Rhinolophus ferrumequinum: one gene and its partners. The main gene of each other region encodes a partner of the protein of the gene in region 2 in a complex. Links are inferred from orthologs where the notes say so. Each region holds a gene or a part of one and is shown on either strand. Other genes may lie near its edges.

Evidence for each region.
Region 1: the proteins of KCNAB2 (region 2) and KCNA2 are in contact, whole or in part, in a crystal structure (PDB 5WIE), measured with the Rattus norvegicus proteins. The link is inferred for Rhinolophus ferrumequinum from reciprocal best matches to the Homo sapiens genes KCNAB2 and KCNA2. Residues at the interface, in NP_059000.1 of Rattus norvegicus: Met193, Met196, Tyr199, Ser200, Arg203, Glu231, His234, Lys235, Ile236; in NP_037102.1 of Rattus norvegicus: Asp28, Glu33, Pro62, Met66, Phe69, Asp70, Pro71, Leu72, Arg73, Asn74, Tyr76.
Region 3: the proteins of KCNAB2 (region 2) and KCNA1 are in contact, whole or in part, in a crystal structure (PDB 1EXB), measured with the Rattus norvegicus proteins. The link is inferred for Rhinolophus ferrumequinum from reciprocal best matches to the Homo sapiens genes KCNAB2 and KCNA1. Residues at the interface, in NP_059000.1 of Rattus norvegicus: Met196, Tyr199, Ser200, Arg203, Glu231, Lys235, Ile236; in NP_775118.1 of Rattus norvegicus: Glu37, Met70, Phe73, Asp74, Pro75, Leu76, Asn78, Tyr80.

What each region holds. Positions count from the first base shown.
Region 1 is NC_046305.1:42,490,465-42,499,726, forward strand, and holds the start of KCNA2 (potassium voltage-gated channel subfamily A member 2), read right to left. Parts: upstream 3,825-9,262; 5' UTR 3,339-3,824; intron 3,109-3,338; exon of another isoform or gene 2,971-3,108; intron 2,809-2,970; exon of another isoform or gene 2,667-2,808; intron 1,392-2,666; 5' UTR 1,133-1,391; intron 694-1,132; 5' UTR 531-693; coding exon 1-530. UniProt on the Homo sapiens protein: Voltage-gated potassium channel that mediates transmembrane potassium transport in excitable membranes, primarily in the brain and the central nervous system, but also in the cardiovascular system.
Region 2 is NC_046292.1:3,614,200-3,623,783, forward strand, and holds the start of KCNAB2 (voltage-gated potassium channel subunit beta-2), read left to right. Parts: upstream 1-5,800; intron 5,801-6,970; coding exon of another isoform or gene 6,971-6,978; coding exon 6,979-7,012; intron 7,013-9,584.
Region 3 is NC_046293.1:85,976,789-85,986,527, forward strand, and holds the start of KCNA1 (potassium voltage-gated channel subfamily A member 1), read right to left. Parts: upstream 4,137-9,739; 5' UTR 2,715-4,136; intron 2,353-2,714; 5' UTR 1,838-2,352; coding exon 356-1,837; 3' UTR 1-355. UniProt on the Homo sapiens protein: Voltage-gated potassium channel that mediates transmembrane potassium transport in excitable membranes, primarily in the brain and the central nervous system, but also in the kidney.

The DNA of each region.
Region 1 (9,262 bases), on a different chromosome or scaffold from region 2:
ATGGAGATCAAGATCACCATGACAGATACTATAGCGATAATCCTGGCAGGCCCTGAGCTCTCTGGGTATTCAAAGAGAAGCCACACCTGTCTCTGAAACTCGTTTTCGGGCAGAGGCCGCTCTTCCTCTTTGATGTAGCCTTCGTCTTCCCGAAACATCTCCATCGCTTCTTCCCCCAGCTCGTAAAACCGAATTTCTTCAGAGAATATATCTAAGGGCACGTTCACAGGCCGCCTCAGCCGGCCCCCGGACTGATAATAGTACAAGATGGCATCAAAGCTCGGCCGGTTCCGATCAAAAAAGTACTCATTTCGAAGGGGGTCGAAGTACCTCATCCGCTTCTTTGGGTCCCCTAAGAGGGTCTCTGGAAACTGGGCTAAAGTCTTTAGCTGGGTCTCAAACCGTAGCCCCGAGATGTTGATCACCACCCGCTCACAGCACTCGTGGTCAGCCTCTGGGTCATAGGTGTCCTGTGGGTGCCCGGGGAGGGCAGCAGCCTCGTCTGCTGGGTCTCCGGTGGCCACTGTCATAATTGGGACTAGGAGAGGTGCCTCACGCTATGCCTTCCAGCTGCCTGGCAGCAGGGAGCTCAGGGTGCTGCTGACGGCTCCAGGAAACTCAGGAGCATGGGCCTGGGCTCCTGCGGGAGAGCCCCAAGGGCTCCCTGAGAGCCGGAGAGATAGCCTCGCTCGGCTGAAAGACAAGGCAGGACATGAGACCGTTCCGTGTTGGCAACCCGGCCTGAGGTGCCAGTTTGAGTCGCCCATCTCTCAGCCAAGCGTTCAGAAACACGAGCGCTACTACCACCACCAGAAAGCACAACTTACTTTCACCTTGTAAGTTGGCTGGGGAATCACAGGGAAGTCGGTGGCCATCTCTCAAGAAAGCCCTAGAATGCCCTGCATTGGAGGAAGGTGGCAGTCCAGGCCCCTCTGCACTGCACGGGATTCATGGAGCATACCCCACACCAGAAGCTGGAAGGGAGCCCTCCCCCAGGTACCGAACTCATGTCTTGCAGATACCTGCACCCTGGGAGGTATTGTCAGTGGTGAATCTTGGACTTGGGTGTCCCTCACTGCCCCCACCGAAATGATTCTACACGTGGCTGTTATTAAATGATAGACTGATTTACCTGGCAAGGCAGGGATCTGAAGTTCTCTTCCTTGCAGAGCTGATCAAATGCTGACGGACTCCTAGATACACAGACAGGCAGCCGGACTCCCCATCATGTCTTCACACTTGAGCTGGAAATAATGGTGAGTCATTCTGGGCAGGAGGGCAGGTTCCAGGTCCTGGAGGTGAGCCCCAGGGCTGAGCTAGGCTGGAGGGGCGGTGGGGGGCCTGGTCAGGGGCATGCAGGACTCGAGGACGGCAGAGCTTGGGTCTGGAGCCTTTGGAAGGAAGGAGATGAGATGCAAAGGTCAGCATAAGCTGGAGCCCTCCTGGCTGTCCTCAGGAGGTGTGACGTTGCCTGGATAAAACAGCAGCCAGGTGGAACCAGGGCTTTTGGGCAGCTGGTGCCAAGATTTAGGAGCGCTCTGGCAGCTTCCCTTCCATGCCCCCTTCCATTCTGGTGTCACATCTGAGACTAACCCTCAGCCCCCTCCAGCCTCCTCTGGGCAGGCTTCCATCGGCTGGAAGCATTTTCTCGCAGGGAACCAGCCTTCAGGCTTGGCTGAGACTGTCTCCTCCGAGGCCTCTCTGGGCTGAGCCAGACTCCCTGTTGGTCCTCAGCAGCCATCGGGAGAGACTCTGAGCAAAGCCCTCCCACCCCCAGGTCAGGACACAGCATCTTGCAAGAGAGGGCTTCCCAGACTGGAGCCTACTACACACTCTGACCTCCTCAAGGTTCTGGAGGAAGAAGAGTCCCCCCAAACCCCTCCCAACACATACTCCTTCAGAGCTCATGTAGGGAGACTCCTCACACAAAAAGATCCGCTCTACAAAACTGGCTGGCTGGGGCCCAGGACTGACTCTCCCTTGGGGATCCCTAGGCAGCAGGCCTCCATCAGGCGGGTAGCATTTGAACCGGGCAGGCGCTCGACCACCGACTTCTTCCCAAGAAAAAATCCCTCCCGTCTCCTCTGCAGGGAGCACAGAACGGACGCTCAGCCAGTTTGACTGCCAGGCGGCTTGGCAGCAGCGAGAGGGGAGCCCGGTTGAGGCCGGCATCCGAGCTGGCCCCCTGCCGGCTCCATCCTGCCGGCCCCGGGGTCGGGAGGGGTCTGGGTCCTCTCCCCACTGCTCCGGGCCCTGGCCGGGATTCCGCCCGGCGTGCTTCGCGTTCGGCTCTGCGCGGGCGGCCCAGACCCACCGGCTGGCCACGGCAGTCAGCGCTACCTTAACCCCCTCCTGCCCGGTTCGGGGGGGCTCTCGCTGCAGGCCCGAGCGCAGCCCAGCTCTTTTGCCCCTGGGGTCCAACCGAGGGACCGCCGAGGCTCCATCTCCACTGGAAAACACTGGAGCCTGAACTGTGGAGGGTGGGGAGCAGGCGGCTACCCCAGATCTCAGCTCCTCTTAAGCGCGGGGGCTCCACGGCAGCCCGCGGCCCCAGGGAAGCGGAAAAGCCCTTCTCCGCCGCAAAGCTGTTTTGATTCTGAGCCGGAGAAGAGCCTGCAGCCCAGCCGTCCTGAGTGATACGGGTCCCACCGACCAGCGCTATTTACCAGACATGGTTATGCTGTCAGCTGCACTTCCCATCATCACCCGCCAGCTCCTCGCTGCGCCCTCCGCCCCGCGCCACGCACAGCCCGGAGGGTCCCCGAGCCCATATGGTGCCCTCCTCCTCCTTAGGGCGCCAGCTCCCCACCCCCCGTCCGCTCCGGTCCGGCCGCAGCTCGCCCGCCCGGGACGCAGCGCGAGCCCTCCGCGCTGCAGGCGGCAGCGTCTGGTGCCCCGCAGCCCCTCCGGGCGCCGCAGCCCACACCCGGCAAGCAGCACGCGCGGCCCAACGCCCCGGCACCGCTTTACCCTTCCCGATGGGCACGCGGAGCCTCCATGTTCCGGGGTGACCGCGAGCGCCGGCGATACGGCGGTGGCGGGCGGCAGCGGCGGCGGGGTGCGGGCGGCCAGGCGGGAGCCGGCTCTGCAGTCCCGCGGGCGGCGCGTACGGAGCCCGGCCGCCGCCCGCAGCCGCACCGCGCCGCACCGCGCCACGCAGCGCCGCACCTGGCCCGGCTGCGAACTCGAATTAAAGGGGCCGACCGGGGCCGGGCCGGGGCCGGCGAGGCGCGCGCCAGCCGCCTCCGCCACGCGGGTCGCCGGGGTGGGTCCCCGGATCTCGGCCCCCACCCCATCAGGAAGACACCCCCTTCTTTGGCAGAGCCCAGCTTACTAACCAGAACCTCGTGGAGAGCTCAGCTGGGTGCTGCCGGGGCCGGACGCAGGGCGCAGAAGTTGAGGAGCGGTCAGGAGGGGCTCCTGCCAACATAATGAAGTAGGCAAGGAGCAAACAATCGATAGCAGTTATCCCCGGCCCGAGGGACAGGTGTTGCTATCATTACGATGCTGCCAGACAGAATCTGTAGACCCACTGCTGGCCCCCCTGCGCCGGCTCGCCCCCTCCTCCAGGCCTGCCTCCCCACCTCCCTCTTCCCCATCCACAGCTTTGGCTTGGCGCGGAAATGCAGCAGGTGCGGGCCGTGGTGTGGCAGAAACTTGCTGCTGCGTTTGCCCCACCGGGAGGAGCCACAGGGACCCGCAGAACTGCAGAGCCGGTCCTCCGGACCCCTCCCCCAGGGCCCGGGCAGGGAAGGCTGGGGAACCTGCAGCGGCCCTGGGGAAGGGCCAGCTACTCACCAAACGGGCCCCCTCACAGACCTTACAAAACCAGCTGGCCCACGGGACTCTGAACATAGGAGTGCAGCTCACAGCACGCTGGGGTGGGCCTCTGCTTTGGGAACAACGTGTGTGGGAAGCCCACCCTGCCCTCTGCTCAGACAGGGTATCTGAGAGGGTTGGGTGGCTCCCACCCAAGCACTCCAACCCCTGCCAGTTCTGTTCTTCAGATCCCTCTTCCAAACCCCAGTTCCTTGAACTTAGACTGCAATGCAGAGAGGCTGTAGTCCCAGGAAGGCACCTTCTGGGTCCTTCTTTCTCAGAGAACCTCCTCTCTAGGTCCGTAGCTGTGATGGAACCCACAAGGCCCAGCTCTGTGAGATTCTGGCCTTTCATCCGGGGACTCTACCTAGAGCTGCAGAGGGTGGCCTGGAAGGGCAGATGACTACATGGCAGGGCCCCTTGAAGCTGGGTGGTCAATGTCCCACCAAAGGATGACCTGGGTGTTTTGGAACCCTGACAGTTACTAGGCAAATTAATCCACGTCTCTGAATCTTAGTGTCCTCATCTGCAAAATGAGGATATCTCATGGGCTGTCATAAGGGTGAAACTGTTTAGGTAAACAGTTTAGCGCCCAGTGGACACTACACAAATGATGGTTTCTCCACTGTTTCCCTATGAAACTTTCCTCATAGCCCTATTGGCTTAGCTTTTGGCTGTTTCTCAACCTGCCCAATCACCAGCTTTTTATTGTACGATTCTCTCTGCTTCCCAGCTTGCCCAGCCCTCACTTTCCCTGAGGTCTCGGCCCTTCCCACCTCTGTCACCAAATTCTGCTCCACACTCCTTCTGGAAGCCTCCCCTGACCGGCGCCACAGGGCGGTGGCCCCTTGTTCTTGCCACAGTGGGCCCTCGTGTCAATTCAAGCCCAAAAGTCTTACCCATTTGATCGTGTCTATATATTTTCTTTGTTCTCCTTTGTTAAAACAAAAGCCGTGGACAGGAACAACTCTTGACGGAGAGTTAATAATTATGCTAATTGGCGACATGTGCTTACCATGTGTCAGCGACTGCGCTAAGCAGCCCTAGCCCTGTGGGACGTCTAGTCCTCAGTTCTAGTCGTTTCTACCTCGGTACCGTTTCAGGGAAAAGGAAACTGTGGCAGCAACCTGCCACAAAGCAACCTGCCCAAAAGGTGAAGCAACCTGCCCAAAGTCACTGAGTGATGACTCCAGGACTTGAAGGAAGTCTTTGAGACTCCAGGACACACAGCCGGGCCCCGACACCACACTGCTCACGTAGAATGAGTAGCCCTTGAACTTCACTTCCCTCTTTGGGGTCTTCTTCTGACCTCTGTTCCATCTGATTGGCCTCCCCCCATTAAAGCCTGATCTAAGTGTGAACCACAATCAAAAAGGAATGAACGAGAGAAGGAAATAAAACGAGTTGTTCAGGAGCGTGGGGTGTGGCCTCTGCCCCAGACAGCTCTCTCTTGGTTTGGCGGTCCTGTGTGAGAAACGCACACAGACCCAATTCCTAGCTCCGACACTTGCTAGCTGGGTGAACTTGGGTGAGTTATTTAAACTCTCTGAGCCTCAGTTTCCTAATCTGTTGAGTGGGACAGCAAAACTAGTTCCCAGGGTGGTAAGGATTAAACGTTATAAAGAGTAGTCAGCCAACTAGCTTAACCTAGGTGTTTAATCATGATTAACTCGCTTTCTAGCCCTATAGCAGTCACCATTTCTTATTTTTGGCCACAGAAGAACAGCTGGAAAGCCCCTTGATTCCCCCCTGGCCCCTCCGGGTAGGTCAAACCCCCAAACCACTCCTTTCCCCTTTAGTCCGTCTCCTGATTGGGGTCCATGCCTTCAGCAGAGGGAAGGACTGGTGACTGCCACAGAGTGACCTGCACCTGCGCCACATACAGAATCTGTTGGTTCCTGTGGTCTGTGACGACAGTCATTGAAAAGAGGGGTTTATGAGAGTGCGCCTACACCCACCCCACCCAGGCACCACAGGTGCAGGAGGGAGGGTCTCTTAGTTCTTCCCACCACAATTCATATACACAGAAAACTACACGAGCTCCCTTCCCAGGTGTCACTCCCAGAGGACCAGCGCTCCTTCCTTGCATGACTGCCACCTCTGCTGATGCTTGCTCCCCCAACCAACCCACTCACCCACTGCTCTGTGGCAGCACCACCCCCTCTAGCCCACAGGAAGCAGGGCAGGGACGCGTGGAATACAAGCCCAGGCCCTGGGCTGACAGCTTTCCATAAGTCCTTTGATTTAATCGTTGCAACCACCCTGTGGGAAGCAAGCCATTATCTCCATCTTACAGTTGACGATATTGAAGCTCAAAGAGGACAAGTTGCTGTCCAGGGTAATTTAGTGGCGAGGCTGGGATGGAACTCAAGACTGGCTGACTCCACAAATCACCATGGCATTCTGCTGCCCGCTTCCACTGCTGGGGGTCAGGCCTCGGGGCTCAATTCCTGGTCTGAGGAACATGGGTTCAGCCAAACAGGGCTCGCAGATGCTTACCCACACATCTGGGGAGGTTGTCCAACTTGACGGGAGGTCTGTTTTAGAAGGGGTTGTGCTGGTGGTAATGAACTATTCACACCAAGGGAGTCGGGGCAGTGGTGCAAGGTTCTTCCCTGTGCCGCTTCCTGAAGCAGCTCAGCTGATGTGTCTCACATCTGCAGGGCCCAGGGCCAAGCGTCCCTCACCCCGGCACAGGGCGGACAAGGCAGAGCATCTGACCAGGGTTGCAGTCTGGGTTTTTGCCTCGGCATGCAGGGCCGTGTGACCCAAGGTCTCTCACTTGACCTTTTTGTGTCGCAATTTACTCGTAAAATAGGAAAGATAGCATTGCCCCCTATCTGCCCCTTGCTTCACAGTGTTTGGAGAGAGAGAGGAAGGAGGGAAGGAAAGAAAGAAGGAAGGAAACGAACATTCATTATTTGTATGTATTAAAATCTCATTTGTTAGGATCGGAGAGGAGAAAATGTGTGAACGTGCTTGGAGAAGCAAAAACCTGGTCAGCGTGGAAGAGTACACTGTTCTTGTGATTGTCATCGCTGCCAGTGTGCATCGTGACTAATGTCTGAGGGTCCCCTGGAAATGAAATGAGCAGCCGTTCCAGCCCCCTACTTACCTCAAGGCTGCCTCCTCCAAGAAGCCTTCTGAGATTAACTCCAGCTGCCTCTGAGGAACTCCTGTGCAGAGGCCTGGGCCTTGGTCCTGTCCTGAACTAGCTGCTACACTCTCATCCCACTCTACTGCGAATCTTGGCCAGACAAAAGACTATTTTAAGGAATGGCTAAAGAGGGGAGATCCTCCCTCCCCTCTTGGAGCTGCTGCTCTGTGTCAGACACTGTGCTGGGTGTCTCACCATCAGACCCCTGATATTAACACCCAAAGGCAGAATAGTGTGGTTCAAGTACAACTGATGCCAGGTCTAGGGCCTAATTCCAGGCTTGCCATGTTTTAGCTCTGTGACTCAGTTCCTCGCCTATAAATGTTGTTGTGTGCCTGGAATATAAAGCACTTAGAACGGTGCCTGTCCCAAAGCAAACACTAAGTGTCAGCTGTCAGCAGGTCATCCTCTCAGCGTTGCCACCATGGTCTTCTCTATTAGGAATGGAAGTGGGAGAGGTTTAGGATGAGCTGTGACAATCCATAGCTTTTGTGTTCCAGGCCATATCCCCGGGACCACCTGAAGCATTGGTGGCTCACTCAGGTTTCCCAGGGTGGTCTGGATGTGCGTGGAGGCCCCCTCCTCCCATCTGTAAGAGGGACAATTCCTGCTCTACACCAACCCTTCAGCCGGCTCCATCTGTACGGAGCCCCCACTGGTCCACAGATGTAACCAGCTCAGTCCCACAAGCCAGCTGGCCTGGGTCAGATCAAAGACTGGAGCAAAGGCTGCTCGACCCAGCACCTCGGGCCTGTGCTGGGCCCAGGGCTGGGCCCTGGGTGCTCTGTCTTCAGCCCAGGTCTCTCCCTGGAGCCACAGACTCATCAACCCCACTTCCTAGGCCTGCTTCGCCCTCACGTCCCCCTTGTTGGGAGAGACGCCACCTCTCACCCTGCTGCCCAAAGTAGAAACCTGGGAGACTTTATCAGCTCTTGTACCCCTGACATCCGACAAATCCAGTCCCTCACTTGGCCTTGACATCTGTTCCGCTTCTCTGATTCCCTGTCCTGCCCCTGCTACCCTGGTTTAAGCCACCAGAGGGCATGGTCTGCTGCAACCTTTCCGGGTCCCGGGCTTTCAGACTAGCTGTTCCCTCACCTCGTCTCCCCTCAGTTGCTGTAGTGGTCCTTCTAAAGCGTCACTTATCTTTGAGGTCCTCATGGACTCCCTATTGCTATGATACAACCTACGTGTCCTAAAAGGCATACAAAGCCCTTCACAATCGGTTATTTCCTAGAGGTCTATACCGGCGTCAAACTAAACTGCTTCGAAGGCTCTAACTGGTTGAAAACAGATGGACTGGGTTAAGACCTGAACTCCGACAGGTCTAGGCTTGAGTCCTGGCTCTGCTCCTCCCCACTCATGTGACCTCATGTGGCTGCTTTGTTTGGGCCCGATGGTTACTATAATCCCATGTCCTTCTCCTCTCCCCTTTACTGTCTTTGGTCTATAGAGAAGGGGAACAGAGCAAATGAGAAGCAACTTGACATCAGGGAAAGAACACTGGCCTGGCAGTGCCAGCCCTAGTTCTGCCACGATCTAGGTGACCTTTGGGTGTGTGACCTTGGGTAAGTTACTTCCCCTCTTTGGGCCTCAATTTCCACATCTGTAAAATGGGAAAGCTGGACTACATGATATATATGACCCCTTCTTGTTTCTGACTAGTTCTTCGACTTCACCCTGGTTAGTGAACCAGACCATTAGTATCTAAAGGGCTCCTATTGTAACTATCTTACTGAGAGGACATGGAGGCTCAGAGAGGTCATGTGACCTGCTCTAGGAAGTGGCAGAGCTGGGATTCAAGCCCAGGCCTCTTTGATCCCCAAGTCTGCAGTTGCCCCGTCACGTCTCACTGTTTAAAAAGGGAGGAAGGAATTTTGAAGATGCCAAGTCACTTTAAAGATGAGTCCTGAAAAAATTCAAACCAGTGCAAACCTGACACTCAGTGCATCTTAACGATGTTCTGAATCCAAGAAGGGTCATTACAAGGAGAACTCAGGAAGTCTTTCATGCTGAGGCCTACAGAGAGACAAATGGGCTAAAAAATCTGCAGGGAGAGGGTGCAGTTAGGCATGGGGGAAATGACAGATTATGGGACATTTGATGGGCTAAGGGACCCAAAGAGGACCTTTCAGAACAGGCAGAGGCCTGATGGACACATACCACTTACGGTAGGTTTGTCCTTCCCCAGCATGCTAAGAAAACAGAAGTAGGTGAGTGAAAGATTGGATAGAAAAATACCAGATAACAAATTTGTGTTTCTTGGCTGGAATGAGCCCTGGTCTG
Region 2 (9,584 bases):
GCAGCCACAGAGGGTCTAAGAAGCACAGGTCCCCTGTGACACAGTCATACCTATGTGCGATGGTCACTTCCATAAGAGATAAACCAGTTTCTGGGGAAGTGGGAAAGACGAGCAGCCTTCTGCGAAGCAAACAGAGGCAGCAAAGGCACAGCAGATGTTGTAGCAAGTCTGAGGACCCTAAGGAGTGAGCTCTTGGAAGGTAAGGCCACTGCCGGGGAATAGGCCACCTCGGGGACACATCTGTGCAGGGACAGCTTCATAAGCTTTTTGCACATGGTGCAAAGGTTCCAGAAGAGCTGTGATCAGCAGCTTTCCCAGAAGGCCTGCCAGGCCTTGGACGGCCACTTCCCTCCACCAGGGCCAGCCTCAGGCCCTGCCCAGCCCCCACTTGCCCCCACCTGTTAGCACATGGATCCTTGCCCGCCCAACTCCTGATATCATTTCACAGATGACGAAACCGACATTAGGGAAGATTGAGAGATTTGCCCAAGGTCATATACCAACAATACTCTAACCCTGGGCCAGGTGGGAACCCGGGCTGGGCCTCACCGCCCTCCCCGACACCCGGAAGGGTCTCCTTGGGTCACCCAAAGAGGGTGGAATTATGTCATCCACCCAGCCCGAGGAGAAGATAGAAGATGTGTGTGTGCAGTGTGCTCTGGCAAGATTCCCACTTAGAAACAGTTACCTCTTCAGTGCACAAAGTGCTAACTTTGGATCAAGACATCTCGCTAAATGAAGGTTCCTGCCACCCAAGTTCTCCTGTGCTCCAGCGTCTGCTGTGGAGAGATGAACGCATCTCCTTCTCCAGTCACTGGAGGTAGCCCCGCCACCCACTGGAGTCACGATTTAACATAATAAGGATGACCCCGGAGATGGAAGCCCAGAACCTGCTCCCCGGAGCCCTGAAGTTAGAAGTCTGTTCCCGTCCTGCAGGACAGTCGTCCTGGAGGCAGGCCACCACAGTAAACTTCACTTACCACGCACTCCTCGGTCGGCTGGCTGCACGTCCCGGTCTAGGCTGGGTCGCTCTGGCACATGCAGCCCTTTGGACCAGCGGGGTCTGGGACACGTTTGTCCCTGGTGATGGCAGAGTTTCCAGGCTAGTGTCCCATGGCCGAGGCTGAGACTGGCACGTCATCATTCTGCTCGCACTCCATTGGGGTGTGTGTGTGTGTGTGTGTGTGTGTTGGGGAGATGCCATAAAGTCACCCAGCAAAGGATGTGGATACTGGGAGAAGTAAGGGCTAGGGGCCCTCATCCCCTCCTATGCAAATCAGATGCCAGCTCAGTCACCCAGGAACATCTGGGTGACCAGAACTGTCCCCAACCAGGCCCAATGAGAAGGTGTCTTCTCTTATTTTGTGTCTCCATCCTGGACTCGCAGGCTCAGGTCTGACCTTTGTGGTTTTTCATTTACGGCGCATGTTCATTTTCTTCACTGTCCTGAATACACAGAATTCTTCCCATCTCGTGCAAGTGCCTCTGGTGGGGTGGGGGGTGGAGAGGGAGAGAGGGAGAGGAAGAGAGAGGAAAAAAGCAGGAAAGAGAGGGAAGGAAGGAGGGAGGGGGGAAGGAAGCAGAGTCAGAGGGCGAGAGAGAGGGAGGAAGAGAAAGGGAAAGAGAGAGGAAGGAGAAGGAGGGAAAGAAGGAGGGAAGAGAAGAGAGGGAAGGAAGAAGGGAGGAAGAGGGAGAGGAACACACTAGTAGCTGTGAGTGGGACACCCCGGGCATATTTCCCCCAGAGTAATATAGTCATTTATCTTTATTTCCAACAGAGAAATTGAGGGTCATCTAGGCCAGGCCCCATTTTGCAGATGAGGAAACTAAGGCTCAAGGAGAGAGAGGGCTCTTGTGTCTGGTCAAGGGTGCCTCGCCTTGGTACGTGGTGAACCAGGACTTTCTGCATGGATCACCTGGTTTATTCTGGTGCTTTCCCCTATGTGTGTATACATGTGCTTGTCCATGTTAAAATCATGCCATGGGTCCTGTTTTCCCGAAGGCTGCCACCCAGCGTCCCATGGCCAATCCCAGGACCCAGAGTTACACTGAAGGCCCCCGTGTAACTCTCCAGTCAGTCCGTGGAGACTCTAAACAGTGAGGTCTTGCCAGGGCTGCAGTCTGAGACCTCCAGGAATCCGTTTTTGTGTTTCCTTTCAGTTTAACTCACTTCCTGTCCTTTCCCATCCTCTGCTCTCAGAGCTCTAACTGGCAGCATACTGGCCTTTCAGGAAAAACTAAAGCTGAGAAATCACCCACAGTGACAGGGTGCAGGGGAACTGGATACATCCACAAAGCCAAGAACCCTCCCCGAAATTACCGGTTGATTTGAAGGAGGAAACGTGCCATGTCAAGGCGGAAGCCACCTCAAGCAAGTGACTGGAGCCTGCCTCTGCCCACGGGGATATGCACGTGCCTCCTGGCTGGGTGCCCACAGAAGACACAGCCTCACCCAAAAGGCTTAGCCAAATCAAATCGTGAGGCAGCAGACAAGTCCGAAATGTGGGGCAGTGTGCAAGACAAATGGCCTGAGCTTTTCAAAATGTGTCCTGAAAAACAAAAACAAAAACATGGTGGGGAGCTAGATGAGAGGAAAGTGGGGGAAATAACCAATGCCGTTTGTGAACCTTGAGTGGACCCTGGGTTATTTTAAATCTATAAAATATATGTTTGGAATAGGGGAAATGTGAATATAGGCTATATATCAGGTGACATTGAATAAGCACCTTCGGTGTGCCCTGGCGTGATGAAGGACAGAGCTCTTATTCTCAGAAGAGGCATGCTGCAGTGTGGACGGGGGGTGCCCTGAGATTGCAACTTTCAATGGCTCCAGAAAAAATGCATGTGTGTGTGTGTAAGTATGAATGTGTGAAAGAGTGTGAGTGTGTGTAGAGACGGAGATGGAGGGAGGGAAGGACAGAGGAGAGAAAGAACGGGATGGGAGAGAGAATGCATGCAACTGAGGCAAAATGTAGACCGTTGGTGAATAGGATGCAGAATATAGGGGTGTCTGTTGCTGTTCTGATTTGTTACAACTTTTCTGATGTGTGAAAGTTTTTCAAAACAGTAAGTTGGGGAGAAGAAAGACAGTGCCCACAGATGGAGCCTCCTGACCTTTGGGGTGTCACCATCAGCTCACCTTGTAAAGGATGACAGCTGGGACTTACTCGACAGCTTTCTCCTGGGCTCAGCATTTTCATGTCTTACTTCTCTTTGCTCGGGGAGAAGGTATGGGCAGGCTTTCTGAGTGCTGCCTGCTTCAGTTCTCCAAGTATAAATTGGGGTGTTTGCTCAAGGTCACACACAGACCAGGTACAAGTGCAGGAGACGGAGGGACCCAGGCTTCGGACCCCAAGTCAGCTGTCTCTCCGGAAGCTGCGAGAGGCTGCGGGTGCACCCCTCTGCCCGCCTCCCTCCCAATGCCTGACATTGGCAGCATCCCGCTAGCATGTCATCTCCTCCGTGATTGGCCACTGGATGGATGCCGTTGCTCCTGATTGGACGGTGACAGCTGCAGAGCCCAGAGGTGGGCTCTGGGCCAGAAGCTGGCTGCTGGTTCAGAGGAAGCCTGACCTTCAGAGTCCAAACTAGGTAGGGGGGAGGAGTAGGCCAGGTGGCCTCCCCAGGGACGCCTTGCTAAGTGCAGCAGGTGGTACCAGTTGTCCCTGCACCTGTAGTTGCCCTGAGCACCCTCCCTGGACAGAGAGGGCGTTGCACCCTCCAGAGAAGACTGCCCTTGTCCCTGGTGGAGGCGGAGTCCCCACACCCCTCCCTTCCCCTGTGCTTTCTCTGGATGAGCCTTCAGCAGGCTAAGCTCAGAGTCATTCATTCACTCCCTCATTCAACAAGTATTTGAGTGTTTAGGAGGGAAACACGATAACAAATGAGACAGTAAGTGAAGTATGAGGTATATTAGACGGTGACAAGTGCTAGGGAGAAAAATTCTGCAGGGAAGGGACTAGAGGGGTGTGTGGGAGAAAGGGTTTGCAGTTTCAGATAAGGTGTCTGGGAGAGACTCCAGGAGAAGGCCACCTTTGTATAAAGAGGAAAGTTGGGGGCAGGGGCCCTCAGATGGATCTCAGTGGTCAAAGAGCTCAGGTGGAAAAAGCAGGTGCAAAAGCCCTGAGGTTGCGGGTGGCAGGTTAGCTCAGTTGGTTAGAGCATGGTGATGGTAGCACCAAAGTTGCTGGTTCAATCCCCGCATGGGCCACCGTGAGCTGCGCCCTTCTTTAAAAAAAAAAAAAAAAAAAAAAAAAAGCTCTGAGGTTGGAGTGTCTGCGGGTTTGTGGGACCCCCAAGGAGCCAGTGTGTGGGAGTGGGGTGAGCAAGGGGGAGGCAGGGGATGACGTCCCACGCATCATGGGCAGGTGGGGTGGGGCACAAGGCCACTGTTGAGATTTGGGCTTTCACTCCGGGTAGATTGGGAAACCATCGGAAGGTTTCGAGCAAAGTAATGACATCATCTGATTTATGTTCTAGAAGGTTCACTCTGGCTCCTGTAAAGTAGATGGTGAAGGGTAAAGGTGGAAGCCAGGAGACACATCACACAGCTGTGTGTGTGTGTGTGTGACTGGAGGGAAGGGGACCTGCGAGAGAGAAGGTGGTGGCCCAGACCACAGTGGAGCTTATGGGGATCACCGTGAGAAGCTTGGGATTCTGGGTGTTTCTAAAGATGAATAGTGATGAATTTTTTGCTGAGCTGGGAACAGCGTGGGAAGAACCGGCTGGGGACGCGATCAGGAACTGAGCATGATCTGTTGCCGCCGAAATATTACCTCGAACTTAAAACAACTTTTATTACCTCAGTTTCTTCTGTGGGTCAGAAGTTGGGGCACAGCTTTCCTGGGTGGTGCCTCTGGCCTCACAAGGCAGCGATCAAGGTTTTGGTGGGGCTGGGCTCTTACTGGAAGGTTCCACTGGGGAGGGATCCCCTCCAAGCTCCCGTGGTGGTGTGAAGAATTCCTTCTTGTGGCTGTTGGCCAGAGGCCACCGTCAGTCCCTTGCCTCTCCAACATGGCAACTTGCTTCATCAAGAAGCTTCATCAAGAGCCAGCAATTAAGAGAGTCTGCTAGCAAGACAGAAGGCACGGAAGTGCCTAATCACAGAAGTGACATCCCATCACCTGTGCCACATTCTGGTGTTCGAAGCCAGTCACTAGGTCTAGTGTATGCTCAGGGGGAGAGGGTGTTGGGTCCCAGGAGCTGGGGTCACGGGGTGTCTGAAAAGCTGCTTCCTTAAAGCTCAGCAGTGGCACCATCGTTAGAGTAGGGGTCAGGGAAGGTGAGGCAGCAAGGATGGCCCTGGGTGACAGTGACGCCACCACCTGGGATGGGGAAGACAGTCCAGAGTACCAAGTCCACAGACGCCCTCTCGGACCATTTCTGCAGAGTTTGGGCAACAAAAAGTTGCTCTGACAGCCTCAGAAAAGCAGCCATGGGGGTGGGGGTGCAGGAGAAGGACCCCTGTGGAGCGTGGTGGGGGATGGAGAGATGGAAATCCTTCACAGTCCTTGGACCTGACCGTCAGCCTCATCCGAGCCCCCATGGTCGGTCTGTCTGTGCGATGAGGGACATGCTGATGCCCCGCAAACCGGGCCTTCACCCTCACAGAGCCTCCTGGCCAAACCTGACTGGTCTTTCTTAACCACCTCCCCTCTTGCTTTTCTTCCAGAATCTTCCCTCTGTGAAGAAGAGAGCAGGTCGGGACGAGTGAGGCCGGCTCCATGTATCCAGAATCGACCACTGGCTCCCCGGCTCGGCTCTCCCTGCGGCAGACGGGCTCCCCCGGCATGATCTACAGGTGACCCCCAGCCCCAGGCCCCCCACAGTCACCCTCCCTCTGGGAGGGATCCCCGAGGCCACTGTGTTTCTTCCCCTGGACCCAGAGGACAGTGAGATGCAGCGGGGGTGCGTTTTCTCTGAGGAAAGGGATGGAAGCCTTTAAGACCAAAATGGGGAAGAAAAACCCAGGAATTTCTGGGTGGGTTGGAGCCAGGATTAGACTCCCACCTCTCCTGGAATAATTCAGGAGTGGAATAATTCAGGAGAGGTGGGAGTCTAATTCCACGGAAGCCCAACAGTGGGGGGGGGGAGTCCCTCCTGGCTCTGTTTCTCTCATCTTACACTTTGAGGCTCCTCCGGACCCCCTGTGGCCGGAGGAGAGTAGGCTTCAGAAGAAGGGGGGAAAGGTTAGCCCTCAGCTCCCCCAACTGCCTGAGTGAGGCTCAAAGCCTTGCAGGCCTGTGGGGCACCGTGTCTGCCCATCTTCAAATGCCGGGGAGGGCGGGGTGGCCAGGTGCTCACCAGGCACCCTGGACCTGCTCCTTGAGGAGGCCAGCTCTGTCTTTCTGCTTGCCTCCCGGTTGGACCCAGGCAAACAGGCAGGAGCCACTGGGTGAGAACTGCTGGCACCCCGACCGGAGCACAGAGCCCAGCTGGCAGTCACCGACAGCTGGGGCCCAGGTGGAACCCTGGGGGCCCATCAGTGCTTGAGCGATTGGACCTTTCTAGATAATTGTCAGGGCCTGAGCCTCAGCGAGTATCCATGGAAACCACAGGGAAAAGGGGTGTCCCCACTTCATCCAGGTCCTAACACGCACAGTCACGTGAAGATTTGCCAGTGAGTGGGATGACAGGCGCTTCTTGGTTTGAGGGTTTTCAACTGTTGTTCTCAAGCATATTTCATTAAAATCCAAACAGATTGTCCCCCAGGGTTTCCCTCCTGTCTTCAGTTCCCATTCTGCTGTCCCCACAGAATGGGCGTCTACCTCCTTGCGCCACTGGGTGGCGCTTCTGCCGAGCACTTGGTACCCAGCGTGCATCCTCCCCGCCAGCCCTGAGCAGAGCGGGGTGGGGCTGGGGCTGAGGGGTGTCGCTGGTGGTTCTGGCTGGCACCTCCCTGTGGTTAATGCCAATTGTGGACTCTCTTTCTTCTCTCCCTTCTTTTCTCTCTCCTCCGTTGCTGTCGCAGTACTCGGTATGGGAGTCCCAAAAGACAGCTCCAGTTTTACAGGTAACGAGCCCTCCATTCCCCTAAATCCACAAGCGAAAGGCAGGGGAGTGGGTGGGAGGGCTGTGTGCCCAGGTTGGGTGTGCTGCTGGTTTCTCAGGAGCAAAAGCCCCCCGACGAAGTCCAGGCTCCGGTTTTCTCTGGGCACCCACCCATGAGGCATCTGTAATGTCCTGATGGAAAAACCGTGAAGTTGGGTTCATTGTGCTGATCTTCTAGAATTTGCTTTGATTGGAGCAAAGGGACTTGTGACACCTGCTTCACTCTCGCAGGCTCTACCTTTGAGCCTCCCGCCTCAGGCAGCGGTTTGTGCCTCTTGGGGTCTCAGAGTCAAAGACACTGTGGCCCATCCGTTCTCCCCGTTTCCTTGGATTTGAAGTGATGTGTGTGTAACCTGCAGCGCTGTCAGGGTCACCCAAGGCCAGCCTCACCTGGGGGTTGCGGCTCCAATGTGACCTGGATGCGGTCGGTGGGGGGGGGGGGGGACGTGCTAGCGTCTTTCTGATGCCTGCCCCTGCTTGGTGAAAGGTTGTGTCCCTGTGAGACGACTTGGTATCCAGGGAACAGACAGGTCAGTCAGCCGCGTCCTCTCGGGCTGTCCCTTCCTCCCTCTAGGCGGCCTCTTCCTAACCTGTACGGTAGGGGGTACCCCACGAGGACACATGCTTCCCGGAAAGTCTCTAACTCTATCTAGGAGTTTACTTTGACATTTTCTTCCTATCAGCAAACTGTCAGGGTGTGGAACTTGCAGGTGAGCTCCGCCCGCCTTGGGACTCTGTGGGGACCTCGGCGTGGCTCTCGGGGGCAGGGACCTGGTGTCTCTTGTGCATCTTGACATTCAGGCCTGGCAGGTCTCGCTCTCCGGCGTTGCGCACGCTCACCACTGATGGGGCCGGGGGCAGTTACCGGCACCTCCGACGTGACCGTGGGCCTGGGTCCTCAGGCTCATTTTGCCACCATTTCAGTGTCCCACTCCTTACAGAGGGCGAGAGAGAGATGACCAAGTCTTTCATTCTACTCAAATTTTTGCTCAGTAAGGTCTTTCCTGAAATAGATCTGAATGTGGGCTTGCGAATGCGTTCGTTGGATAAAATGGTCATCACTGCAGTGGTACATAACATGTCACTGCAAATGTGTGACACTCATCCCAGCAGGATCTGACCAGTGAAACCAAACGTGCACTTGAACTGCGTCCTCACGTATCCCGAGCCCACCTCACTCCCAGAAGGAAAGGAATGAGGTGAGACAAAGGCAGAAAAGTCCAGGCACAGACCGGCCAGCTGAGAGGGCATGGCCAGGGAGAGGGGCCGAGGAAGTTGTGGGGTGTAACCGAGTGGAAGTGAGACTGTGTTCCACACCCTCACTGGCCCTTGGAACGCCACGGATCCAATGTCTTGTCCACCCCTTTAGGGCCCCTCTGGATAAGAATCCGGTCTCCACCAGGCCTTCTTGCCCTGAGGACGAGTTCTGTTGGAGAAGTGCATTCCCACGTCCCTCTCTGCCTCTCAGCTCCTCGTGCAATGCCACAGGCTCTGGATGTCCTGCCTTTGGTCTCCAGTGTGGTTGCTTCACACTTATGTCTCTTGTGGGGCCCCTGATGATGACCTCTAAGGGGGTAGGATCTTTGTCCAGCATCCAGGGTGCCACTCCCAGCGGGGCATCCTTGTCACCCAGGCGCTGACATGGCTCTCAGATGGTTCAGTCAGCAGTGTGGAGCCTCTCCTATAACAGAGCAAAGGTTTTCCAGGCGTGCCCCCCGTCAGGCAGGATGTGACAGACAGTAAGGGAGCTAAGACCCGGTATCCATCAGCTGTTACGCAGAACGCCACATAACAAACAGCCCCCAAAACTCAGTGCTGTACAGCAAGGAGCATTCATTTCTCGCTTATATGTCAGTGGGTTGACTAGAGTCAGTTCATCTAGGCTGGGCTCAAGGCAGCACTGGGGCTTTGAGCTGGACCTTGAGGTCTCGACAGGATTGAACACAGAAATCAGGAGGAACGTTCCAGGAGATACAACAGCCTGAGAACAGGAAGTGGTATTTACACAGACGGGCCATCAGGGCCATCGAGGGGGCTGGGGGTCTGGTGAGGGAGGGCCTGAATGCCAAGCTAAGGAGCTCGGGCTGCACGGAGTGGGCACTGGGGAGCCATCGCTGGAGTCTGAGCAGGGCAGTGATCAGGAAGCCCCGTCACAGGCAGTAAGACGGAGGACAGAGGCTGGATGTGGAGACCAGGAGAGATGGAGAAGGGCTGGCCCACAGGGACCACAGGAAGAGGGAGTGAAGGGTGCAGGGCGCAGGAACCATGGACCAGGGTGCCAGGACCATGTCCCCGGGCTTGTCAACCACCAGGCACTGAGGGGGACGTTGTGCTGACAGAGAGGAGCAGTGACCCGGGGAGGAGTTGGGCCTCATTCAAATCATGTCGTGGGAATGACCACCACCCAACAGTGAGGCCCAGGGCCACCTCCAGCCAAGGGGGACATGAGACATAACGGGCGTGGGCCTTTGAGAGAAAACATCCCATTTCCGTCACTAAGGCCTTTCCAAATAATAACCACTGCCTGTCACCTC
Region 3 (9,739 bases), on a different chromosome or scaffold from region 2:
AAAAAGTTAAAGAAGCCCAAAGATTACAAATGTCTCAGTATGGGGAAGCATATGAATCTTATTTTACCGAGTCTAGCTCATGAACTGAATTTTTAAACCAATTTTAGAAAATACACTTTCTTTTCCCATTTTTTAATAAAATGAAAATAGTTTTTTTTTTCCCCCACAGATCTTGGAAGCTTCTGATTGGCCGCCCCCAAAATTCACAATGCAACAATGCATTGACAGTTAAATAGAGCATTCAAAAACTATTCAGTAAAGTATCGACAAAGAGTGACATGGGTCACTAGGGTTTTTGTTTTGTTTTGTAAGTCTTTCAAGCGGCTAAGTGGGGCTTTTTTGTTTGCTTGGCTTTTTAGACATCGGTCAGTAGCTTGCTCTTATTAACGCAGTTTTGGTTAGCTGTGGTGCAATTGCCAGTTCTGAGATTGGCCTGTCTATAATGGGCTATGCTATTATTCATATCCTCTTCGATCTCCATGTACTCAGATTTGCTGAGAGTAGAGGAACTGCGCCGACTGAGGTCACTGTCAGAGGCTAAATTAGGGGAGCTAACGTGGAGCAGCTGAGCCTGCTCTTCCCCTTCAGTTTCTCGGTGGTAGAAATAGTTGAAATTGGACACAATGACAGGTACGGGCAGGGCAATTGTCAGCACACCAGCGATGGCACACAAGGAGCCCACGATCTTGCCTCCAATTGTCACAGGGTACATGTCACCGTATCCTACAGTGGTCATGGACACCACCGCCCACCAGAAAGCATCGGGGATACTGGAGAAGTGCGACTCAGCTTCTTCCGCCTCTGCAAAGTACACTGCACTGGAAAACAGTATGACCCCGATGAAGAGGAAGAAGATGAGCAGCCCTAGCTCTCTCATACTAGCTTTCAGGGTCTGGCCCAGGATCTGGAGGCCCTTCGAGTGGCGGGAGAGCTTGAAGATTCTGAAAACCCTTACCAACCGGATGACCCTGAGGATGGCCAGCGAAGTGGCCTGCTCGCCCTTCTGGTTGCCCTCCTGCTCGGCGATCTCAGTGCCCAGGGTGATGAAATAGGGGATGATGGCCACGATGTCGATGAAGTTCATGATGTTTTTGAAGAACTCTGTCTTGCTGGGGCAGGCGAAGAAGCGCACCACCAGCTCAAAGGAGAACCAGATAATGCACAGCGTCTCCACGATGAAGAAGGGGTCCGTGAAGATGTTGGAAGTGTAGACCACCGTGGTGTTGTCGATGCGGTGGATGGTGCCCGTGAAGTCCTTGTCGTCCTTCAGCTCAGGGAGGGTCTCCAGGCAAAAGATGACGATGGAGATGAGGATGACCATGACGGAGACGATGGCGATGACTCGGGCGGGCCCCGAGCTCTCGGGGTACTCGAAGAGCAGCCACACCTGGCGCTGGTATTCCTTCTCGGGCAGGGGGCGCTCCTCCTCCTTGATGAAGCCCTCGTCCTCCCGGAACTTCTCCATGGCCTCCTCGCCCAGCTCGTAAAATTTGATCTCCTCGGAGAACATGTCCAAGGGCACGTTGACGGGCCTCCGCAGCCGGCCCCCCGACTGGTAGTAGTAGAGGATGGCGTCGAAGCTGGGCCGGTTGCGGTCGAAGAAGTACTCGTTCCTCAGGGGGTCGAAGTAGCGCATGCGCTTCTTAGGGTTGCCCAGCAGCGTGTTGGGGAACTGAGCCAGGGTCTTGAGCTGCGTCTCAAAGCGCAGCCCGGAGATGTTGATCACCACGCGTTCGCAGCACTCGTGGTCCTCGTGGTCCGCTGGCCGGGGGTAATCCTGGGGATGGCCCGGGGCGGCGGACGCCTCGTCCACGTTCTCCCCAGACATTACCGTCATGGTAGAAGCCGGGTGCAGGGGTGAGAGAGCAGGAAAGGGCCAGCGGTGGTAGGAAGGACGGAGAGAGGAGGGGTGGGGGGGACCCAAGCGCCCCCCCCACCGGAGTGCGTGTCTCCCCCACGCTCAAGGGGAGGGGCTTCGAAGCCAGCCGGTCAAGAGATCTGCGACTTCGCTTCTGGTTCCCTTCCTCTCCACCCTACCTTTTGCTCAGTTTGGAATCCCCCTCGCCTGCGGCCCGGGGTGCACCTTTTTGCCCAGGGTTGGGGTGGGGGGGAGAGCTGGTGTTTCTTCCTGCTCGGAGGTGCCTTAACGCAGTGCTGTTCTAGCGAGCTGGGCCATCACTTCGGGGTCACCCTGGCCTCCCCTCCCCTCCACGAGCTCTCCTAGGACCGGGTGCAGAGCCAGCTCAGCAGATGCCCTCGCCTGACAACCCCTCTGTTTCTCCTCGGCTCTCCCCCCTCCTACCCCTCTTCGCCTGCCGCCTTCTAAGCTCCCACCAGGGCGATCGATGGACGCTGCAGAGAAATAGAAAGTGATACGGGGGTAGAAAATCAGAAGCATTTAGATGGGACGGACCTACAGACACTGAAGAGCACAGACCTCTAGCTTTGTTAGAAAGCACTGGACTTTTTACTGGACATACACACAGACAGACACACACAGACACCCGGAAATCCAAGTTTGGGGCTCTTCCATCCCACCTTCCCCAGTGCCCAACAGCCGATCTGTTTACAACTTCGTTAAACTAGAGATCGGAAAAGCGCCGAGAGACGCTGGGGAAGCTCCAGGTCCCAGGCAGCGTTCCTACACCCCCGGCTTTCCCCCACCCATCGTCCCAACCCCTGCTTCTGCAGCCCCGATCTGGGGGGCCCCCTACCTGGCCGGCCGGCTTGGCGCAGGAGTGGTGCTGAGTCCGCGGAGAGCCGGAGTTGGAATGCGGCAGGTCGCTTTTGCAGTACACGGGCGGGAGACGCGGCCGCCGCCGCAGCAGCATCCGAGAGGCGAGGCGCCGGGGCAAACTCGCCGCCCTCGCCCTCTCGCGCTACTCCCCTTCAGTCGGACAATCGCTTTTCTGAGCAGCTACAGGGGAAATGTCCACTCCCTATCCCCATTCTCACCCGTTGCCAGCAACCTGGAGACGGCGTGCTCTCTTCTGGTGCAGGGAGTTCCGGAGGATGCGGGGCGGAAAAGCAAAATGCCACCCTCTCCCGAAGCTCTGAAGCAAATGACGATAAACAGCACTCTCGCCCCCCTCCGAACACTATGGGAGCCCTTGATTCGATCCCGAAGGAAGCAGGCGAGCAAGAACCTGGGTCTACATGGCTCTTGGATGCCCTCCGCTTCCGCACCCCCGCGTGGACCTCGCGGAGGCTGAGAGGCGCGCGGGGAGCTGTTAGGAGCGCCGAGTGGGGTAGGGTGCGTGCGGCGGCGGGTCTGCGCGGTCCATTTCTGGGCGCTGCAAGATCAGCAGAAACCTGAGAAAGCGCCCGGAGCGCGGAGCAGCGATTGGCCCACCCAGGCGTGGGTTGGGGAGGGCGGGGGAGGGCAAGAGCGAGGAGGTAGAGGGAAAATATGAGGGGGTGGTGGTTCGGTAGAGGGGGGTTGCCATTCGGTCCCCACCCTTGCCTGCACAGCTTTTTCCTTCTGCCAAAAAAGCCGACCACCAATTCTATTTTCCGTGTGGTCCACAGCCCCGCACACGCGCGGTCCCTGGCCGCGACCTTCACCGGGAATTCCACATTTCAAATGGTCAGGTCCGACGCAATGCAGGCGGTTGTTCCTGGCAAAACTCCTCGGATAGGGTTGTGTTTGTGCAGTCGCACAATAACCAGCTTCGGTGGCCACGCTGGGCGAGCCATCCTGCCCATCCCGCAGGGGGCCCTCTGCGGGGTCCACCCAGCTTCTCCCGGCTGGAGTTGGGAGACGTGCGGATTTTGGGTAGAGCTCTGCAGTTGAGGATCAACTGGGTTTGCTCTATGTAGTGTTATTGCGAGACGGTGGTGCTAAGAGTCTGTCCCTCTTTGACCTACAATGGGAGTTGGAAATTTTCTTACAGTGAGATTATTACGAAATACGGAGAATGTGGGCAACCACTAAAGGCTTCGTGAGTTTTTGGGGGTTGTCTGCCAACTTGGTGCTAATTGGGATGATTCTGAGAAGCAAGTCACCTGCCCACCTCCCACCTACGTCCCTCCTCCCGCAGCCTCTTTTCCCGGCCTAGAGCCTCACAGGGCCACTTGCAAGGCTTGCAACTTCTTCGCGAAAGGGTCGGCACACAGACGCAGGGCAGCAGATGCAGGGGCGTGCGTGGTGCACGCGGAGTGCGGCTCCAGCGGCGCCCTCGGAGGCGCTGCGCCTGGGCGCCTGCAGCTCCAAAGCCGGCAGCCAGCAGCTCCGGTAGTTCAACTGCAGCGGAGGCTCTAAGCAGGCTGCCAGAGCCCGGAGTCGCTGCTGATTGGTCCCCCGCTGCATTGGGACCACCCCTTCGCACCACCGCGGCTCGCGTGGCCGGGTGCCTACACCACCCACGTCTTTAATCAAAGCCACTCTCTTGTGGCTAGTGGAAAGCCGGGGCCTCAGCGGGGTTGTCCAGGCAGTGCAATAATCCTGGGTAGGGCACTAGTTAAGTCCCTCCTCCAGATTCAGACTCCAGCATTCTTTTCAGAAAAATAAAAGTGTTTGTTCCCTCCACTCCTCCGGATGCATAATCTCAGCTTTTCTTTTGCAAAAATAGAGTTAGTTCTCTTAAACTCCTCCCTCCCATATTAAAACTCTGCCCTTTCCCCACTTTCCACACACATGTTCTATCCCACTCACTCTACCTTTCTGCACTACTGCTTTATTGCAAATAAAACATGGAGCTGTGTGCTGAAATACCGACAAGTCCCTTAAAAAAAATGAATAGTTTCAGGTGTACAAAGCAACCTACTAATGAGACATTTACACCCCTCACAAGGTGATAACCACCCCCAAGGTCTTCCCGTCTGATATCTTACATAGCTGTTAAAATACCATTGACTATCTTCCTTATGCTGTACTCCACATACCGTGACTATACATTATATATATTTATATATACATATACATATATAGATATACATTTTATATATATATATATATAATTATAGTTGACATACAATATTATTCTACATCAGCTTTAGGTGTACAAGTCCCTGGTTTTTGTTGCTGCTGCTGCTCTTGCTGCTGCTGCTGTTATGGTCCTATGGGAGACAGCCCTACCAGACGTGATAAACATCTTCTGACCATGTCCTAGCAATCCTGGAGTTCCCCACCCTGCTCTTGTACCTCACTCTGCCTGTAACTTCCTTCTTTCTATTCAACGCCTCCAGGACTCTCATCTCCTAGCCTCATGTGGATGCACTTGCCCTAATTCAGCATTTGGTGATTGCCTTCCTAGACAAAATTCACAGACTGGTTCCTAAAGTCAGGTCTTTACTAGGGGGCATAATAAGATTCGGAAATTTCCAACATCCCTAGCAGATGTGTTTAGAGCAGGAACGGACCTCCAAGGACCTGGAAGAAAGTTGTTGAGCAAGGAACTCATCATTCTTGATGCAAGCTCACCATTGGTAAGGATCTGAAGGTGTTTATTCATTCAACAAATATTTACTCAGCCCCAGCTGTGTGTCAGACATGTTCTAGCCCTACAGATACAGTAATAACTAAGGCACATGAGGCCCCAGACCTCACAGAGCTCACGTTCTGCTGGGAGAGACCAATAATAAACAAATAGACCTCACATTATAATGTCAGGTAAAGAAAATGTTTAAAAAGGGATAGAGAGTGACACATAGAGATTTACATGTCTAGGAAGGGCCTCTCTGCAGAGGTAACATATCAACAAAGAACTTCAAGAAGAGAGAAAGCAAGGAATAATAGCAAGATCAAAACGTTATGTATAAGAGACAATGCAAAGGTTCTAAGGCAAGGACAACCTTAGAATATTTGGGAAACAAGAGGGCCAGGGAGGCTAGAAAGAAGTGACCAAGGAAGTAGGTCACAATGGTAGGCAGGGTCCAGATGGTGCCGGCGTCTGAGGTCGCTGTAAGAACATTTCATCTTATTCTGAGTGCTGTGGAGGATGTTGGAGGACTTGGATCTGTATAGCACTAAAACATGATTTGCTGTTTTCAAAGATTATTCTGGCTACTGGAAACAAGGCGCGAGTTTGTAGGTTATAAAGTAACACAGGTGGTGATGGCATGAACAAGGAAGAGAGCGGTAAGCTTGTGAGAAGTGATTGGAATAGGATTAGATTTTTACAATAGAGATAGCAGGATTTGGGATGTAGGGGGCGGGGAATGTTTCAAGAATGTCTTCTAGCCTTAGTAACTATGAGGATGGGGACGTCATTTACTGAAAGAGTGGATTGGACAGCTTCTCTCCTACTAGAATGTGAGCTACACAAAGTCTGGCTCTTATGTAAATAAGGCCCCTTGTGTGTCTTATTTATCACTGTATTGGGCAGTTGAGGCCTCTCCTCAGATTCTTCCCTCCTCTCTCTTCTTCTTGCCCTGTGGCAACTTGCGCTGCCTCAGCTGCTGCTGGAACAGCCACCTGTGTGGGCAGCAGAGTTCTGCCTCATGAGGTTGACCACACTGCAATGAATACAATCTGGATTCCTCAAGACTGAACAAAGGTCCGGGTGAACAATACACCATGTGGAGGCATTAACTCAGGGGACCAGTGATAACTTGCCTAGTAGGACATACGAGGTCTGACAAATTCGTGAACTTGTTGCAACAATATTGCTAAGCTATTTTGATATCAGAGGGATTATTCATTATGAATTTGTATCAACTGGACAGTTAACCAAGTTTACTATTTGGAAGTGCTGAAAAGACTGCGTGAAAAAGTTAGACAATCTGAACTTTTCGCCCACAATTCATGGCTCTTGCATCACAACAATGCACCAGCTCACACAGCACTGTCTGTGAGGGAGTTTTCAGCCAGTAAGCAAATAACTGTATTGGGATACCCTCCCTACTCACCTGATCTGGCCCCCAATGACTTTTTTCTTTACCCGAATATAAAGAAAATATTGAAAGGAAGACATTTTGGTGACATTTGGGACATCAAGGTTACTACGACGACAACTCTGATGGCCATTTCAGAAAAAGAATTCCAAAATTGCTTTGAAAGGTGGACTCGGCACTGGCATTCATGCACAGCTTCCCAAGGGGAGGACTTCAAAGGTGACCGTAGTGACGTTCAGCAATAAGGTATGTAGCACTTTTTCTAGGATGAGTTCACGACCTTAATTGTCTGATCTCGTAAGAGATAGGACAGAGTCTGTAGATAAATTCTCTCTCCCTTTATTCTTTTCAGGGACAAGCAAACGTATGGTCTAATAACAGGGCTGCATCTCTTTATAGCTCATGAAGGAGTGGCCAGCTTGGCAAGTCACCACCTTGTATTTGCACACTATCCTTCCCTATCTCACTTCCCTTTTCCCTTACTCTCACTACTAGGAATCACATCTTCTGTTAAAATGCAAGTCCTATCTCAGGTTCTGTTTTCTAGGGAAACTGAGCTGAGGCAGAGAGAATCCAAACTTCAGTTTGAGGCATGCTAAGTCTGTTACATATCCAAAAGATGTTGCGTAGGAAGTTGGGCACATGAGTCTAGAGTTCAGAGAGGAGTGATGGGTAGATCAGGGTTTCTCAGGCTGGGCACTGTTGATGCTGTTGCTTTTTGGTTGTGGAAGGTATTTTTGTTTTGTTGTTCTATGCATTTTAGGATGTTCAGCAGCATCCCTAACCTCTACCCACTAGCTGCCAGTAGCATCTGCTCCCAGTTGTGACAACCAAAAGTGTCCCCTGGGGGCAAAATCACTCCTACTGGGAACTACTGGGGTAGATGGTAGTTAAAGCCAGAGTACTGAACTAGGGCCCTTGGACATGAAGGCACAAAGAGAAGAAGAAACATTGAGAGATTGTGCCTCAGGATGTCCTAATTTTTAGAGGCCAATAAAAGAAGGAAGAATCAGCAAAGGAGACCAAGAAAGTGACTGGGAAAGGGAGCAAACCAGGAGAGTGGAGGTCCTTGAAAATAAATGAATACAGTATTTTGAGGAGAGAGATCAATTTTGTTGAATATTGCTAATAGGATGAGTAGAATGAGGAATTTAGAATTGACTATTGGATTTAGAAAAATTGAGTTGAAAAGAGATTGAGAGAGAAGAACTTATGACAGTGGGTAATATCAACTCTTGGAGTTTGGGGGTCAATCGGGAAAAGAAAAACGGAGTAGTAGCTGAGAGAAGATGAAGAGTGACAAGCCTACTCTTCGTAAAGATGAGAGCTGTTATAATATGTGTTACGGTGTGCGGAGGGGATTGATTCAGGAGGAAAGGGAAAATTGTTGATGCAGTAGAAAGAGAAAAACTGAAGCCGTGTTCTTGAGAAGACAAAAGGAGAATGGAATCTAAGATCCAAAAGAAAGAGTGGCCTTGAAAAAGGACAGTTAGTCTACAGAAATGGAAGAAAGGGAACAGAGTTCAAACCGAAGTCATTTAGTAGATGTGTTTGTGGACATTCACTTATGCAATCAGAAGAAGTTTTCTCAGTAAAAAAGGAAGCAAAGTCACCAGCTGCAAATAAAGATGGCAAGGAGGTCTTAGAAGTTGGAGGGAAAAAATGTGAAATAACCCAGGAGATTAGGAAAGTGAAAGAATTAGGAAACATAGCAGGGTTACCTGGTAATACCGCAGGCTCACTTGTGGTGAGGGACCAAGCATTTCAGTGACAAGGCCCTGAGTGTTTGAGATAAACTTGGAAGTGGATCATGATAAAATTAGTGCTGATGATCTTTTATGAGAAAATGTAAAACTAGTGCTAAAAATAGCCTCCTTTTTAGGATCCATTTCTTAAGTGTTACATAGTGGTAAGGCAAGTCATGGCATGAGAAGAAGTGGTCTTACCAGGCAAGGATATGCCCATGTGGATTCACCTTAGATCCTGCCCGTGCTGAGGGCAGGGTCACAAGCAGGACAATGGCCGTCTTACAAGTTATGAAGCATAATTGTAAAGGTGATATAGAACCACAGGAGGCTGGAAGGAAAGTTCGGACGTTCACCAAGGGTTCAAGTTGACAATGGTAGTATGGATGGCTACATAGCCAGGGGTCCTCTTGCTGGTGTCTGTGATTGGGCTTATTTGTGGATGCGCTCCAGGTGCCTGCGAACCCTCTGAAATTATACACATACGAGTATTTTTGGTACATGTCAAAAATCCTATTTTTGAGGACCAGATTTATAAGTGAGTTTTATTGAAATTTCAGCGGGAGAGTACACTGGAACCATTAAAAAGCCTAGGATTTTAAGTCAGAGATGAGTTCTAATTCAACCACCCTGATCTTACACATGTCACTTCATCACTTTACATCTTAATCTCCTTTTTTTTGTAAAATGTAGTATCTATATCACAGGCTGTTATGAGGATAAAATACAAATTGAGTACTGATCAGTGCCTGGCATAGAGTTAGAACTGGATGAAATGCCAGCTTTAAGAAAAAGTGACCATAAAGGCCCGAAATCATTGCATTAGACAGATCTTTAATAAACATTTACCAAGGACACAAGAATCAGAGAAAAGCACAAATGTATTATCTACCGTCAAGAGTCCTTGCATCCAATGTCAGCATTCAACAGTAACTGGTCCTGGACTTTTCCTCCCACCAAAACAACTAGAAAACTGGGTAGAAGACATGAGGCAGCACTGTCTGGGTAACCGGTAAGGCAGAGCTGAGATCTCTTAGGAAGGGAAAACAAATGAGGTGAGCTCTATGTTCACCTTGGCTTTTTGCCTGGAGGTACTTTTCAGAAGCTATGCAAGGCGGTAGAACCCGAACGCAGCCTGGCATTCTTATTGCGTTTAGGAG